4 linked regions of the Schizosaccharomyces pombe genome follow. The gene in region 3 interacts genetically with the main gene of each other region. Each region holds a gene or a part of one and is shown on either strand. Other genes may lie near its edges. The genes, in order: tma20, utp16, tma22 and pnk1.

What was found.
Region 1: mutations in tma22 (region 3) and tma20 together harm fitness less than expected from each alone (positive genetic interaction), as found in Schizosaccharomyces pombe (2 studies listed by BioGRID).
Region 2: mutations in tma22 (region 3) and utp16 together harm fitness more than expected from each alone (negative genetic interaction), as found in Schizosaccharomyces pombe (2 studies listed by BioGRID).
Region 4: mutations in tma22 (region 3) and pnk1 together harm fitness more than expected from each alone (negative genetic interaction), as found in Schizosaccharomyces pombe (2 studies listed by BioGRID).

Annotation. Positions count from the first base shown.
Region 1 is NC_003423.3:3,771,580-3,774,772, forward strand, and holds tma20 (RNA-binding protein Tma20), read left to right. Parts: upstream 1-1,717; 5' UTR 1,718-1,728; coding exon 1,729-1,739; exon of another isoform or gene 1,740-1,793; coding exon 1,794-1,946; exon of another isoform or gene 1,947-2,001; coding exon 2,002-2,099; exon of another isoform or gene 2,100-2,215; coding exon 2,216-2,420; intron 2,421-2,479; coding exon 2,480-2,537; intron 2,538-2,558; exon of another isoform or gene 2,559-2,612; coding exon 2,613-2,633; 3' UTR 2,634-2,693; downstream 2,694-3,193. Other genes in the region: protein Cwf4, read right to left, coding at 1-1,478; histone chaperone Hip1, read right to left, coding at 2,778-3,193. UniProt on the Schizosaccharomyces pombe protein: Involved in translation.
Region 2 is NC_003423.3:3,649,837-3,653,758, reverse strand, and holds utp16 (U3 snoRNP-associated protein Utp16), read left to right. Parts: upstream 1-1,938; coding exon 1,939-1,976; intron 1,977-2,021; exon of another isoform or gene 2,022-2,042; coding exon 2,043-2,585; exon of another isoform or gene 2,586-2,729; coding exon 2,730-3,132; 3' UTR 3,133-3,398; downstream 3,399-3,922. Other genes in the region: ubiquitin protease cofactor Nxt3, read right to left, coding at 1-1,079, 1,196-1,270, 1,339-1,452; karyopherin exportin-T Los1, read left to right, coding at 3,678-3,922. UniProt on the Schizosaccharomyces pombe protein: Functions as part of the small subunit (SSU) processome, first precursor of the small eukaryotic ribosomal subunit that coordinates the first two steps of ribosome biogenesis in transcription of the primary transcript pre-RNA and pre-18S processing.
Region 3 is NC_003423.3:4,333,780-4,337,013, forward strand, and holds tma22 (mitochondrial translation initiation factor), read left to right. Parts: upstream 1-1,813; 5' UTR 1,814-1,839; coding exon 1,840-1,908; intron 1,909-1,961; coding exon 1,962-2,465; 3' UTR 2,466-2,701; downstream 2,702-3,234. Other genes in the region: protein Dbl6, read left to right, coding at 371-1,423; vacuolar protein sorting receptor vps10, read left to right, coding at 3,233-3,234.
Region 4 is NC_003424.3:2,135,519-2,141,506, reverse strand, and holds pnk1 (DNA kinase/phosphatase Pnk1), read left to right. Parts: upstream 1-2,039; 5' UTR 2,040-2,068; coding exon 2,069-2,609; exon of another isoform or gene 2,610-2,632; intron 2,633-2,662; coding exon 2,663-3,058; intron 3,059-3,097; coding exon 3,098-3,240; intron 3,241-3,296; coding exon 3,297-3,443; 3' UTR 3,444-3,565; coding exon of another isoform or gene 3,566-5,362; 3' UTR 5,363-5,473; downstream 5,474-5,988. Other genes in the region: ipp1 (inorganic pyrophosphatase), read right to left, coding at 109-978; mpp10 (U3 snoRNP-associated protein Mpp1), read right to left, coding at 3,566-5,362; rps23 (40S ribosomal protein uS12), read left to right, coding at 5,719-5,988. UniProt on the Schizosaccharomyces pombe protein: Catalyzes the phosphorylation of DNA at 5'-hydroxyl termini and can dephosphorylate its 3'-phosphate termini. Has a role in the repair of breaks in single-stranded DNA.

The sequences.
Region 1 (3,193 bases), 560 kb from region 3:
AAATTATATAAAGCGCGAGCACGATCACTATCTCCAAGCTTAGTCTCTAAGGCAGCGTAACCAAGCCAGGGAGCACAAGCCTCGGGATCATAAAGAATCCATTTTTCATAAAGAATTCGACACCTGTCAAACTGCTTAATTGCGTCTTCGAATTCAATATAACCTCGGAATAATTTTGGTTTTGGACACATTCCCAACGCACGACCCAACGTTTTTCTAGCAACATCAATCTTACGTTGCCTAAGCTCAAACATTGCATACATGAGCCATAATTTGGCAAATGTAAATTTTTTATGGGGTATAAGCTTGAGAGCTTCTTGGTAAACCTTTCTTGCGCGGTCAACGTCCTTCACATCTATCTCTTCAAATAAGCAATAGTTTAACCAAATATAAACGTAACGTCTCCATGCGTTCTTTTCAACTACTTCAGGAACCTTAGCAATAGCTTTTTCGTAGGTTTCGCGAATAGTATTAATATCCCCTGCACTTTCTTCGAGCTTCAGCAAATCAAGCCAAGTGTCATAGTCATAAGGAGAATCCTTCAATAGCTTTTCGTATTGTAATCGACGCTTATCGAGCACAGTAGACTCAACGCCCAAATGATCTCCAAATTGTTTTTCAAAATGAGTGTATTCCTTATATAGTTCCATAGATTTTGATCGGGGCATAAAATCAATTGCATATTTGAAAATGGTGCGAGCTCGTTCATATTCCTTTTGACGAATTTCGAATTTTGCAAAAGCAATAAAAAACCGTTCATTCAGAAACTCCTGACCAAGAGCATCTATAGCAGCCAAATAGACTTGGCGAACGTTTGCAGCATTTCCGCATTCTTCTTCAAAACGAGCCCAACGAAGCCAATTCGTTACTTCAGGATGCACAACGACAAATCGTTCATATATGCCACGAGCCCGTTCGTTTTCATGGTACCTCCTCTCCATTCGAATATAACTCATCCAACAGTTTTCATCAGGCTCCCACTTAAGCCATCTTTCAAATACTTGTCTACAACCGGTGATATTTCCTAACATTTCCTCCATATATACGTATTTGTACCATAGTTTATCAACACGGGGAAGCTGTGTAACAGCACGATCAAATAAATTTCTGGCATGGTTGATATTTCGATTCTTCATTTCGCATTCAATATATTTCAGCCATAACGGTATATAAGTAGAATCTACATCCAAAGCTCTTTCAAAAACAGAGCGAGCTCTCGCAAATTCTTTTTGGTCTAATTCCCACTGACCATATCGCATCCAATGGCCCATAGCGAGACGATTCCGTCGAATGGCATCTTCAAATTCTTTACGTTTTCGACCTTGAAATTCTTGAAGCTCCTCAAGATCAGTGATATTAATTTTTGGAGGAACAAACGCCACATCTTGTCGTTCTACAGCTTCTCGGAGCAATTGTTCAGCTGAGATTTGGATGGGTGCTGGGTTCTTATTTTTTACCCTGGGCGCTTCCGAAGTCATCTTATATTATTCTGGATCTCTATAGTGTACAATTACTCAATAAATAATATGCTAGATTTATGTCTTCTCTTAACCAGTTGGCTTTTACTGTTAGAAGACAAAAACGTGCACAAATATGAATGAATATATCTAACGTTTGTAACCCTCGAGGTGGTAATCGGCAACACCGCGGATCATCCGAGAGGAGACCGCGGCTACAACCTAGTAACTTATTGTAGCAATGGTCTGCAGCTCCTATATACTCAATAATATGTTCAAACGGTATTGCTCTAAATTGGATTTATAATTTTGTAGGATGATTGCTAACCTCAACAGATTTAACTCTAGAGAAGATATAAAGGGAACTACTCCAATCAAGTCTTCTATTCAAAGAGGAATAAAAGCAAAACTAGTACAAGCTTATCCTAACTTAAAACAAGTTATCGATGAGTTAATTCCCAAAAAATCACAACTAACTCAAATAAAATGGTTCGTTCTTATCAGCATCCGTGATTTTTAGTATGTCGTACTGATATTGTTTAAGTGAGGATCGTTTATTTTTGTATACTTTGAATGGCGAAATTATCCTTTTCCAGCACTTCGACGGCCCTATCATTCCTTCTCTTCGTCTTGTTCATAAATGTGAGTATAAGCTAACGTAACCGCAACGTTTGATTGGAGTTCTGGTTTTTGTCTAGCTGGTCAGAATCGACAACAACATATCTGTGTTTAGTTCAAATATATACTAATACGCCTAGGTCCGGATGCCTTTACTCAAGTTCGAGTAGACAGAGGAGCTATCAAATTCCTTCTCTCGGGTGCCAATATTATGATTCCTGGCTTGGTTTCCAAAGGCGGCAATTTGCCTGATGACATCGAAAAAGATCAATATGTGATTGTTACAGCTGAGGGAAAGGAAGCCCCTGCTGCAATTGGGCTTACAAAAATGTCTGCTAAAGAAATGTAATATACTATTGACACTCATAACTTGAACTATTAACTAACATGCTTGAATTGTTTAGGAAAGAGACTAATAAAGGAATCGGCATAGAAAATGTGCATTATCTTGGCGACAACTTGGTATGTGATTTACATTTTAAACCATTTATAATTTCCTCTTGCTTATTGGAATGTAATGTTAACTAATATTCACAGTGGAAGACTATTTTAGAATAACATCTATAGTATAAGACATTAAAAGAATAAAATTAATGCATTATTTTGCTTTCAAAACTATTCAGATTTTTCCAATGAGTATTGTATTAGACTTAAACAGAATGCAAGAAAGAAAAGTCAAATTTAAAATAGCCTCAATTTTTTTCAGGTTGATGCGTATTTTTCTATTAATTTGTTTGCACGATCAAATTCATTATCAGTTTGTACTGCTTGTCGTAAAACCACTAACATTTTTGCAACAACTTCTCTTCCTGATAATTTAATTGAACATTTTGTTTGAGTTCGTAGCTCTCCTAAAAATTCCTCCAATTTTTGCCAAAGACCATGATGCATTAATAGTCTGACATAAACTTCGCTTGTTACTAAAAACTCATCATCCAACTTAAGTAATCGAGCAGAAGCGATTTTGTTTTCTAAATGATTAATAGTAACTATGGTCTCAAAATCATCATAACCTTCTTCAGTGATTGCATCAGCTACCATTTTTTGTAATAGTTTTCCTCTTCCAGAATCCATTAAAACATTATTAGTTCGGTGTTCATATATTTTGAGCGGCTGAC
Region 2 (3,922 bases), 680 kb from region 3:
GAACGACCGTCAAAAGCACCACGGTTACCTTTGCGAAAATTCCTTTTCATTCCATTATAATTATCGTTGGACTTCTTATCTCCCGATTTGTTGAATTTACCGGAAAAAAGACGGCGTCGTTCTTCTATGTTCAGCGTGGCATTGTTAATTTGCAAAGTTTTTTTGTTCAAAGCCAATTGCACGCATTCATGGTTGACAAAATCAACATATGCGGTGCCTTTGCGACGAGCAAACTCAATAGCCTTGACTGGTCCAAAAATGCTCATAGCAGATTTCAATGACACATCAGATGTTTCGGGAGGAATGTTCTTGACGAATACAGATGTCTCCAACAGTTCATTACTCTGAGTGTACGGCGCTGTTGGCTGCTGAGTTTGGTCAGCATTAACACCTTTAACTGTTTGACCAGTTGTAGACGCAGTAGAACTAACTGATGCTTGGGATTTCACATCAGGATGATTACGAGCTATGAGATCAGCCCAAGATTTAGGTGCTGTAGCAACATTTGCATCGCTAGCCCCTATAGCATCAGCATTCTTCGAGTTTGAAGTCAGAGCTTCATCTTGAAGCTGATTTTCCTGCTGAGAAACAAAACTTGGGACTGAGGCTTCCGTAACTTGGATAACGGGTTCTTCAGGAACAGCCAAAGTAGCTTGATTTAGACTGTCGGTCTCATTTGATATAAGAGCGGCTGTGGCAAAATTATTTTCTGTAGCAGCTGGATCCTGGTAATGGCCTTCTTCTTTTGCAGAAGGTAAATGTTCTTGAGATTGCACGCCATTTACGTAAGGTTCAGAAGCAACATCTTTTTTCTCTTTTTCAACAGCATCAGGTGACTCCTCTTCTTCCTCAACATCTTCACGCAAAAAACGGAAAATATCGTTTAAAACAAAATAACCATTTGGTTGTTCTGCAAGGAAAAATGTTTGAGCAAATTTTCTGGATAATTTCCCCTTATTAGACATTTCACCCAGGACCTGGATGACAATGCCACCATTCGAAGAAGCCAAACTGTCAACGTTTGAAATAAGTACTTTGCAATTTTGAAAGTCCAAGTCCAATATCTTGTTATGAATTTCCTAACACGTTAATAAAATGACTATTGGGCAAGACAACGATCATAGAGTTTCGAAAATCGCAAGCAGAATATCACAACCTCAAAAACTTTACATATAAGAATTGTGTTAAAGCATACCTGTTGTCCATGACAAAGACTAATACTCTCGCCTTCGTCTCCGTGAATTAAAGTTGACTTTTTAGTATAGAAACACTGTATTACAGTTAGTACGGTTCACAAGTTGAAGAAAAAAAAACTTTTGGTAAATTATGACGACCTACATGAAGACGATTGGGTTCTTTATTTAAATATGTATAATATTCTTGAACGAACATCCATCCTATCTCATCCTTTCCCAAAACTGGTTCTAATAATGTGGCATTTTCCGCAGTCATGTTTTATTTAACTGTGACAATAGCTATACAAAGAACAGAAAATCTGGCTCTAAAAGACCCAAAACAAAATTCGGTCGTGTCTTATGTTTTCCGTGCGTTGGTCTTTTTAATGTCCCATCTCCTTGCTTTCAATGTCCGTGATTACAGCATTTCGTAATTGGATTTAACGAGACTAAACGATATTTCTGTTGATCTTTTACATTCAACTTGTTCGCATAAGTAAGTTAGTTGATGGAAAGAGAGACCTTTTGGTCAGAAAATTGTTTGGTTTTTCATTTCAACAAATAACATAAACATCATATGATTTACCATAGATCAAAGTTGCATATATTTCTTTCTATTATTGTTTTGCAAATTGATTATATTAGAAACGTTAATTCATTGGAAACCACTAAACATTTTGAATAGTAATACGACTATATACTGTGCTAGAGAGATTAACCTGCTAATGATTTTGCCAAAAGTCAATTAGTTTAACAGCTTTAAATGCAATCGTCTAGAAAAATTATGATACTAAAAAGAAAGTATGCGAGCCTTTAAATCATTTAATTAACGAAAATTGAAATTACTTTCTTCTTCTTATTTACCAGCATTAAAGGGTTAAAATCTAGTGCTATAATTGCAACGTATCTTACTTTAAATAAATTATTTATTGATAAATTTTGTAAGACTCAGGAAAGTACCTATCCTATCCATTTTGTTCACTGCCATTTTGGTGGCATTAAGAAGTTTCACTCGCATTGCCAGTTATCCTCCTCCTACACCAATTCAGGTCAAAAAAGTTTCAAATCCTTTAATAGTCTTCGTTTTATAGTATTAAAATCCAAAACTTGTCTGTTAAGGTATAAACTTCTGATAAAGACATTTTGTTGCATTACTTATTCGAAAATTGAAAATTTGTCAAATACTAGAATGGCAAGATTGACTGCCCCAAGCAAAGGTCCTTCATTTTCAAATTTAAACAAACCAAATGATTTGTTGAAAGCGGAAATTGAAGATAATGAAGCCTCACACTACTCTCAAAATCAATCATCTGACAGTGATTCTGATGAAGCACCTGAAGAAGTTTCGCTGAAGAGCAGCAGCGATGAGGTAAAAAAGAGACTTCAACGTCTGAAAGGGAATGAATTACAGTAAGTTTTAATAAACGGAATGAGGGAAACACTTAAAAATACTATTTGTTTTGGTTTGAGACAGAATAATAATTTGTTTGATAAAAGTTCGACTGCTCATTTCGTTTCCTTGCTTTTGATAGTATTATTTTTAACACATTTTAGGCTTCGAAAAGCTGAAAGAGAAAAACGTAGACTGCAAAATGAAAGAAATCGTGAAAGAAATGCCCAACGGGTAAGCGCATCAAAGTTGGATTTGGCTATTCTTGAGGCAGCTGAAGTTGAAGAAATTAATAGTACCACGGAAATCGAAGAAAAGGTTGACGAAGCAAGCCTTGACCTATATACTCCAAAAGGACATAAAATTGTTTTTCCTAATAACGAAATTCCTAAAAAACGTACTCGTTCATTTCGTAAAGGTGATTTTAAAGTGAGCGTTCTTAAAGAAACAAATGACCCTTTACTAGCGCCGAACTATGAAAAGAAACTGTCACAGCGTAAACGGGATTGGATAAATCGACAATCAGTTCCCCGGGCGTCTAAAAGACGACGTCCCTTGACTTATTAATTTTCCTTTCTCTATTTGGCAACACATTCGCTGTAAATTGAAAGTCAGGCACAAGCATTGCATTTTCTGTTAATATAAGGGTTTACTTTTTTGTTTATTAATAATATTGGTTGGGAAAAGGTTGTCTGGGTTCTAAAACATTCATTATTTGAAGCTTTGGACATGCTAAGTGCAGTTTACGGCTGTTTTTTTGGTAAATGTTTAACATAGTATTTTTAAAAATAAACACTTTAGACAAACATGAGTTAATTAAAGTTGTATCAAGGATTTATTGCCATGCACTAGAGGAAATTCGCTCATGTAACGTTTCGTACATCATAGATATTATAGATATCAGTAGCTATAGCTCATAAGGCCAAAATTTGCATAAATATATTATTAATTGTCTAGTGTATGAACATTTACTACTTATAATTATAAAATATTTGCATATAAATTTCTGAGATGGTTTGTACTTTCGACTACTTGCACTAGGCAAACTTCGCTTTTTAGCACCACAAAAATTTTGTCACTTCAAAGCATTGTTGACCTTCACCTCTGCAGCCATGTCGGCCCAGGATGTCGAAAACGCAGTAGAAGCAGCATTAGATCCTTCTGTAGGACCAATAATAAAGCAACAAGCTACAGATTTTATTGGTAGCCTTAGAAGCTCATCTACAGGTTGGAAAATATGCCATGAAATTTTTAGTGAAAAAACGAAATATAAACCATCAACAAGACTGATTTGCCTTCAAACTCTTAGTGAGAAAGTTAGAGAATGGAACAATGAAAGCAATTTGTTAGAGTTACA
Region 3 (3,234 bases):
CTGCTTTACATCTCTGAAGCAAATTAAAATTGATGAGTGTATCAACAATATCCTTACTTGAATATAGTCTGTCCTAATATTTACTATGTATAAAGAAGCGGCTTATACAATTCTCATTTATTGATTAAGTTAATTTCTGTTAAGCTTTACTATGAGAATGGTGATTTGAATCCTCTTTTGGAATTAACTATGTTTAAGCTTATGTTTTGTACTGCTCCCGAGATCTTAACTGAAGCCTATCGTCACCTCGTCAATACGAATTTTTTTCAATTGTAAAGCATATGCAATAAAATATAGAATGATTATTTAATATAGGGCCTTTATATTATTTTTAAGTCTTTGTGGTATTTTGTAGGGATATACTGTCGAAATGGATTCATTTCATCCAACACCTGGAAAACCGACCACAGCAACATCAAATTCAAGTCTGAACTTTTTTGTAAGAAACAGAGAGAAAAGTATTAGGTGCTCAAGCTTGCATCAAACTTTTACAGCCCCTTCTCCTGAAGCTTCACCGTCAATCGGATTAAGATATGTAAATTACTCAATGAGCGACGAAACTGATGAATCTATGTTTCCACTTGATTCAGAACTGACCGATATGGAAGATGATGATACCGAGTACATATCAGACTCTACAACAGACTTGCCGTCCGCTGCCATGGCTAGAGGAACTAGGCAGTTGAGTTACAATGAAAATTTGGATCAGCGTTCGTTTTCTAAGACTCCAAATAAACATATTGAAGTAAAAAATTTAAAGGACCTTTGTAGTCCCTCTCATTCTGGAAGAATTTCGAAATCTTTGTGTCCTGTGTTACGAAGAAAGTCTTTGCTTCCCAAACCGAAAATGTTCCAACGCGTAGCCAGTGCCTTGTATGAAGAATCATCTCCTCTGGAGTTGGAAATCCGTAGTGAATCGGAATTTTCCAAGATGTTTTTCGAGCCTAAAAAATCATCATCCTTTGTTTCTAGAGCTGCTTCGCCTGCAATGGTAGGTCCGGGTGTACCGTTTTACAGTTCTATAACAGGTGCAAATGGTAATGTTCTCGCACCATCAGGATCTTTGAAAGCTGTTGAGAACTCTGATGTAATTGAGTCATCTGCAGAGGACAGTAGTAATACGGACAATCCATCTACTAAGCCTTCGAATGAGATGCCCATATCTCCTCTGCTTTCCAGTTCTGTATTTTTTAAGGATACAGAAATGTCAACTCCGAATAGCAATCACTCCAGATCCCGTACCCCATCCTCGAAAAAGCGAACTCGATGGGGCGAAGAAATAATCGACTTATCGAAGAGAAGAGCTGTATCTCCTTCCATTTATTATGATTTGGATAAGAAATGCTCTCCTATTCATTCTGTTATGGTCAGCCCCTTGAAGATTAAGGATACTCACGAAGTCTTGATGAATTTAAAGTTATGAACTAGCTCACGCTGCGAAGTGTGTATTTATTTGTACAATAATTGAATAATTAATTTCCTATCTTTTTACGCAACTTATTTTGTAGTAGCTTTTTATCATGTTGAATCTAGTTTACAATGTTACAGCGCCGTTATTTTTATTACTCTTTATAAAGAACAGCTTGTTATCATATCATTGTTTTGATATGTAAACAAAAGTCCTAAAAATCCGTTTACGGTTTCAGCAGCATAACATTATATTCTAAAATTTAAAACGACTTGAGATGTGAATTACTTTTTATTTAACGAATAACTTACAGCTTTTAAGCATATTTTACTCTCATAGTATATTTAGGCTTCGCCTCTTTGAATCTCGCTTTCTATTTTCGTTCCCCCAGGTAGTCTCTACTTTAACCTATACTGCAAGAAACTCAAATAATGGCTTCACAAACCATCCCGAAGTTAAAATCAGTATTATACTGCGATGTTTGTACATTGCCCGTGGAAGTACGTAATAAACAACTTGTTTTATAATTATATTAACTATGAATGCGTTGTAGTACTGCGAATTTGAGGGCACTTTAAAAAAATGTAAAGAATGGCTTAAATCATCTCACCCGGACGTTTATGATAAATTGTACGGTGAGCAAGACTTAAGCAAAGACCTTGAAAACACTCTGAATGTTAGCGGAACTAAAGATTCTAATGCAGAAGAACAACCGGCAAAATTGACGAAGGAGGAAAAGCGCGTTGAGCGTGAAGAAGCCAAACGTATGGCATCCAAGGTTTTGATAAAAACCATTGAAAGAACTAAAAGAAAGAGAGTCACCACAGTTCAAGGTCTTGACGCATTTGGGATCGAAACGAAAAAAGCTGCTAAGATGTTGGCCAACAAGTTCGCGACCGGAGCCAGTGTCACTAAAACAGCTGATAAGAAGGATGAAATTGTTGTACAGGGTGATTTGAATTATGATATATTTGATTTTATTTTGGAAAAGTTTAAAGAGGTTCCGGAAGACAATATTAAAATTGTCGAAGATACGAAATCTAAGAAGAAGCAGTAATCTTAATTTTTATTTTTTAAAAATACTACTAAGTATGCTATTTTTGGGGCTATTTTATCATAAACTGTCTTGTACAATCTTGTACAACCTAATTTTCTGTTAAATGGTTGCACAGTTAGGATACCGGTTTTTAATAATTTATTGAGACTCATGTTTTTTAATGTTTCTATATAAAAAATGCCTAATTATCAATATTTTACAATTTATTGCCTGTTGTATTAGTATGATGATTTGAAGTCACCATTTGTTTACTTACATTTCATTGCCAAGGCTATAGAGTAGTATTAGCATTCGTTGTGTATGCCATGAATTTCTTAGCAGTTAAAAATTGAAATTGTGTTTCTTTACGCCTTTTTGGACGTTATCAGCATACAAAATAAGGCAGCTTAGTAGTTCATTAAGAAAATGTTGTCTTGAATGTAGGAATAAATTATATTTTGACAAAGTAATCGATTCTACAAAGAATGCTGTGATCATTGTCACCTTTTTAAATTTGATAAAATTGATTTACTATGCAAATAGTTGTAGCTTCATTATTAACTAAGAAGAACCGTGATAATAACATTACTCAGTAGCTAGTTCTTCAGTGTACTTAACTTTCAGGGGACAGGATTTTAATATCGATACAAACACTTAAGAGATCCGAATGCGTATTTCGTTATTGAAGTTTTTGAGTCATTTGCGTTGAGGCGCATTAAGCAATGCTGATGGGGAAGTTGACGATTTCACCATTCGAACATTGCCAAAAGCAACGAAGTTGAGGAATTAT
Region 4 (5,988 bases), on a different chromosome or scaffold from region 3:
TTATTCACATATTTACTGACTACGATAATCGCATATAGTCCTGTTTCGGTCAAAAATGTAGTGTCGCAGATATAGTCTATATTCTATATTATAGTGTGATACTACTACTTAAAGAGGAGAGCCAGAAATGTAGAACCATTTGTGAACGCTGGGATCAACAGGAGCAGGAGCGAGCTCTTGAGCAGGAGGAATAGTGCTGGAAACGGAAGGGTCATTGGCAACAGATCCAGTGACTGAAACATTGACCAAAGAAAAGTCAGACTTGGCATCAGTCTTACCGGTAATAAGGCGCTCCCAAGCTTCATTGCACTCACGAACAACTTCTTCAGCATACTTACGGTTCTTGCATTCACCACTGAAAGCAAAGGAATTTTCAGGCTTGCCATCGGGGATCTTGTAAATGCGGAACCACTCGTTAGTAGCACGGATTAAGCCAGGCATATGACGTTCAACATCCTCAATATCATTAAGCTTAGGAGCTAAAGGGTCATTAACGTCGATGACAATAACCTTCCAGTCAGTCTCACCCTCGTCAAGAAGGGCCATAACACCCAAGACCTTAACTTGCTTGACTTGGCCGGTGTAGCCACGAGCTTCACCGATCTCACAAACATCGAGAGGATCGCTATCACCCTTGGCCTTGGTTTCAGGATGAACAACATTAGGATCCTCATAGGTTTGAGGAAAAGCACCGTAGTTCCAAATGTAACCGTGGTGAGGAAAGCAGTTACGAACGAAACGAAGCTTACCCTTCTTAGTATCTTGCTTGATAGGGTTCAAGGTAGCTTCCTTGGTAATTTCAAGCTTAGCCTGAGTCCAACGAGGGATCTCAACGACCATGTTCAAGATGGTCTTCTCAGCATTGGCATACAAGGGGATATCGTGCCAAGAAGAGATAGGAGTACCATTTTTCTCAACATAGACTTGGTAGTCCAATGTGTTCAAAGCGCCAACTTCACGGGTAGTGTATTCACTCATGACTGAAAAGTGTTTTTGGTTAAGTACAGGTTGCAATGTGCACTAATTCGCAACATCTGCTACAAAATTTGTAACTCAATGTATACAAAAAATCTTATATTAATTTATAAAATTTTCTAAGGAACAGGTTTATATTTTTAATATCGCATGTTTTTATTTTATACAGCATAAAGATGGATTTGTGAATCTTACATAGGGTAATACTGTTATAAAGTTACTTTCTTTAGCAATACTTTATTAAATGATTGATAGTAAAGGAGATTTCCACAACATGATAAAAATTTAGCACAAATAAATTATTAAAATTAAATTGTTTTACGAGAATTTATCAATTTTTTATATTAAACACAATCAAAGATATTTATTAGCCTTGTATGCAGGTTTCTTTTCTGTCGATATGGATCTTGTGGAATACTGATTTTGCGATCAGTAAATTCTTGGCTGATGCAGTAGAAGCCATAATGTTTATATAAAAATATACGAAATATTTAAATTAATTAATTATGGAAATTTTTGTTTTTAAATTCCAGATCAGCTACTAAAAAAGATAAATGACAAACGAAAAAATAATGCAAAAAAAAGCTCATACATAAAAACAAAATATTGCCGATGTCCTTCATTTTTTGTTTAAAAATAAACGGTTTAATTTTAAACGATACCAAAAAAAAAAAACTAATGTTCGTAAATAACGAGATATGCAATTGTTAATGAATAAGATGTAGGTCTCAAATATGTTATTTGTGAAATCTTTGAATGGTTGCCAAATAATAAATTAGACGAATAAATTAAAGAATTTTCTTGTTATTTATTGTCTAAATTTCTTCGAATAAGAATTATTTTCAAGTCAGTAAACATATTAAATCTTCGATTAAGGACTATATGATATAATATATCTTCTCACTAATTGTTGTATATGAGGCATTTTATGTAATTGATCAAAAACAATTGAAAATTCAATAGAGCGAAAAATAAAATTTTCATCTGTTATCCATTTTTAAGTATGTTATTGAAACCACCCATTTTCATTGCTATGCAATTATAATATAGCTAACTCAATTACCAAGTCCCATTTAGTATTTCGTCAATCGCGATGTCGTCGAAAAAAAGAAAGTCTCCCCCCCAGGAATCTTTAACTTCATATTTTGAAAAATCGTCTAAATCCTCAAAAAAGTACGGCTCTCAAAACAAAGATTCTGATTCATCCTCGACATGCCTTCAACAGAAAATAGAAATTCAATGGAGCATCACCGATTCATTATACATAGCAAAGTATGGAAAACTAAAAAAGACTAAAAAATTTATTGCATTTGATTTAGATGGAACGCTCATAAAAACTAAATCTGGTAGAGTATTTTCAAAAGATGCAGCTGACTGGACCTGGTGGCATCCAAGCGTTGTCCCAAAATTGAAGGCTTTATACCAAGACAATTATTCTCTTGTTATTTTCAGTAATCAAAACGGAATTCCAAGAAAACCTTCTGCCGGACATACCTTTCAGATGAAGATTCGTGCTATTTTTGAGTCATTAGATCTACCTATTGTATTGTATGCTGCCATCTTGAAAGATAAGTTTAGAAAACCATTGACAGGAATGTGGAATTCCTTTTTAAAAGACGTGAACCGTTCAATTGGTGAGTTGACGCTTGTAATTTATCAAGGCCTATTAACATTTTTCACCCTTTAGATTTATCTTTCATCAAATACGTAGGTGATGCTGCAGGCCGTCCGGGTGATCATAATTCAACTGATTTAAAGTTTGCTGAAAACATTGGGATTAAATTTGAGACGCCCGAGCAATTTTTCTTGGGGCATTCATTTGTGCCTCCAAACTTTGAATCATTTCATCCAAAGAATTACCTTGTAAGAAATTCTTCTTCACATCCATACCATTTTAAAAAATCCGAGCATCAAGAAATTGTTGTTTTAGTTGGGTTTCCTTCTTCTGGGAAGAGTACTTTAGCTGAATCTCAGATTGTCACTCAAGGATACGAAAGGGTAAATCAAGACATCTTAAAAACGAAATCAAAATGCATCAAGGCTGCCATAGAGGCACTTAAAAAAGAAAAATCGGTTGTCATAGGTATGTACTCGATCATTTCAACGACTTACGCGATTTCAGACAACACAAACCCTACAATAGAATCACGAAAAATGTGGATTGACATAGCCCAAGAATTTGAGATCCCTATACGCTGCATTCATCTTCAGTCATCTGAGGAACTTGCCAGACACAACAACGTTTTCCGTTACATTCACCATAACGTAAGTTACCTGTTGGAGCATTAGAAAGACTTAGAAGAATTCCTAACCAATTCTAGCAAAAACAACTTCCCGAGATAGCGTTTAATTCTTTCAAATCTCGTTTTCAAATGCCAACAGTAGAAGAAGGTTTTACAAATGTTGAAGAAGTTCCTTTTAAATGCCTTAAAGACTATGAAGATACATGGAATTATTGGTACGAATAATACGAATGATATCTAAGAAATTATTAAATTGCATTAATTTCAAAAATATATAGTTATTGATCCCACTAAAACCAAACGTTTATAAAAATTATGACTAGCACACTTAACACCGAAATTTATCTTCAAAGCTTTAGCTGATTTGAAGAAACAATCGGATGATATTTGTTTGAATTACTTGCAACCTTTTTGCGCTCACCTCCTTTACCAATGACCTCAACATTCGATTTTGATAATTGACGAACGACTTGTTCAGTACCGGAATTCCTTCTTTTCTCAGCCATTTGCTTACGTTTCTCAGCATGTTTTCTACGCACCCGCCTGCGGCGTGCTTGCTTTTGTTGGTGGTCCATTTCAGTCGATGAAATGGCGATACCTGACCGAGTAATAGTTTCACCTTCACGATTCTCATTAGACGGTTTATAAACTTCTTGAGGAGCCAATGCCATAGTGTCAGAGGCAGCAGTTGGCTGAACGTCCTCCATTGCTAAAGTGGGTGCATTAGAAACAATTTCAACAGTAGACTCAGGAGGAGGGGGAACATAATGCCAAGAAGCAAGAGAATCTAAAGTGCGGCTGACTTCCGAAAACAATGCCTTGATTTCTTCATGTTCTTTTTCTTTCTTTTTATCAGCTTCACTCTTATATGTGTCGGCGTTGCTCTTTTTAAGGAATTCTTCTTCATATTCTTCTGCTAAAGAACGCTGAGACTTATTTTCGTTTAACTCGAATAATTCGCTTGGTCGAAATTCAGTAACAGCAACTGGCGCGCGTTTAGGTACATCATCAAATGTTTTGGAAATAATTCGGTTTTTAATTAAATCTTCTAATGTCTCAGTAGTCTCTTCCGTTTGTACAGGGACAGGTTTAGCACCAGTTTCAAATTCCAAATCAACGTCTAACAGTGAATTAGAAGGTCGTCCTTTAGACGTTGCCTCCCCCATCATGGTCCAGGACTTCTTGGCAACGTTTTCAGCCTCGAGCTCACGAATTTGCTGAGTCAAACGGGCTTTATCGCGCTCATAAGAAGATAATTGATCAGCTGAAACATCGTCTTCTTCGTCACTAGCAAATAAATCTTTCTTCACTCGATCAAAGGTAGCATACTCATTGTCAGAGCTCTCATTATTTTCTTCAATAACATTTTGTTGCACATCATTTTTGAAATCCGGTTTACTTGTTCTTTTTCTTTTGGATTCGGCCTTTTTCTTTTTTAGTTCACGGCGACCGGCCGCTGTTTTTGGACCAAAAAAATCTTCGTACATAATGGAGTCAGCCTGAGGACCATTTGATTCATCTTCAGAGTCTTCCATATTCTCATCGGGATCCATTAACAAGTCAATACCGTCATCTTCATCGCCGAGGACACCCTCTTCGACTGCTTCCTCTTCTAAAGCTAAGGTTTGCTTGTTAAAATTATCAATATCAAAAAAACCATCATTAAGTCCAAATGCGTCTTTTTTCTGTTCGATTTGTTGTCCTTCTTCATTCATAATTTCAGCTTCATCTCCTGAAACATCTTCGGCAGAACTTTCGTCGACATCTTCTAGATTTTCTGGACCAGAGAACCCTAAAAATTCATCATCAGCATCATCCCGATTGTTCATTTCACTATTGTCAGAGAGTTCCTGATGACTTGTTTCATCATCCTCATCCTGGAAAGAAGTAATGCTATCTTCTTCTTCGTCTTCGTTTTCAACATCAACTTGAGGGAGATCATCTAATGCATACTTGGCAGCTAATGCTAGTTGGTTATATATTTGCCAATTATCTAATCCTTTTGTGACAATTGTTTGGATGGGACTTGTAGATGGGATTTTTATATTTGAGAAAACCTCAATAGCTTTTTCAACCAATTGCTTTGAATCCTCTTTATTCGGGAACAAAAAGAGTGTTGGCTCGGAATTTATAAGTTCAGTCATATCAAATCTTTTTTTTTTTTTAAATCTCACAAAACTTTGACTAAATATCTTGGAAGTATTCCAAGTACGAAACAAATAAATACCAATTGAGCTTAAATATTACACACCAAACCTTTTGCAAAGTACTTGCAACTCCTTTTTCCAAAATAATCAAAAAGACGTATGTTTTTTGTTTTAGATGTTTTTTCTTTTTTGTAATGTAGTAAAATTTTAGTAAGTATGGGCATCAACAATTTACTTAGTGAAGCGTTGCGTACTATATTATATAAGAAGGGTAGGGTTTGTGACTGTTTTGGACATAAAGCTAAGTTCACCTAAATCCAACACACAGTTCGCCGCAACCTCTATACTACAAAATGGGAAAACCCGCAGGATTGAACGCCGCTCGTAAGCTTCGCAATCATCGCCGTGAGGAGCGTTGGGCCGATGCTCATTACAAGAAGCGCTTATTGGGAACCGCTTACAAGTCATCACCTTTCGGTGGATCGTCTCATGCTAAGGGTATCGTTGTCGAAAAGATTGGTGTAGAAGCTAAGCAACCTAACTCTGCTATTCGTAAATGTGTTCGTGTTCAGTTGATCAAGAATGGTAAGAAAGTTACCGCTTTCGTTCCCCACGATGGTTGT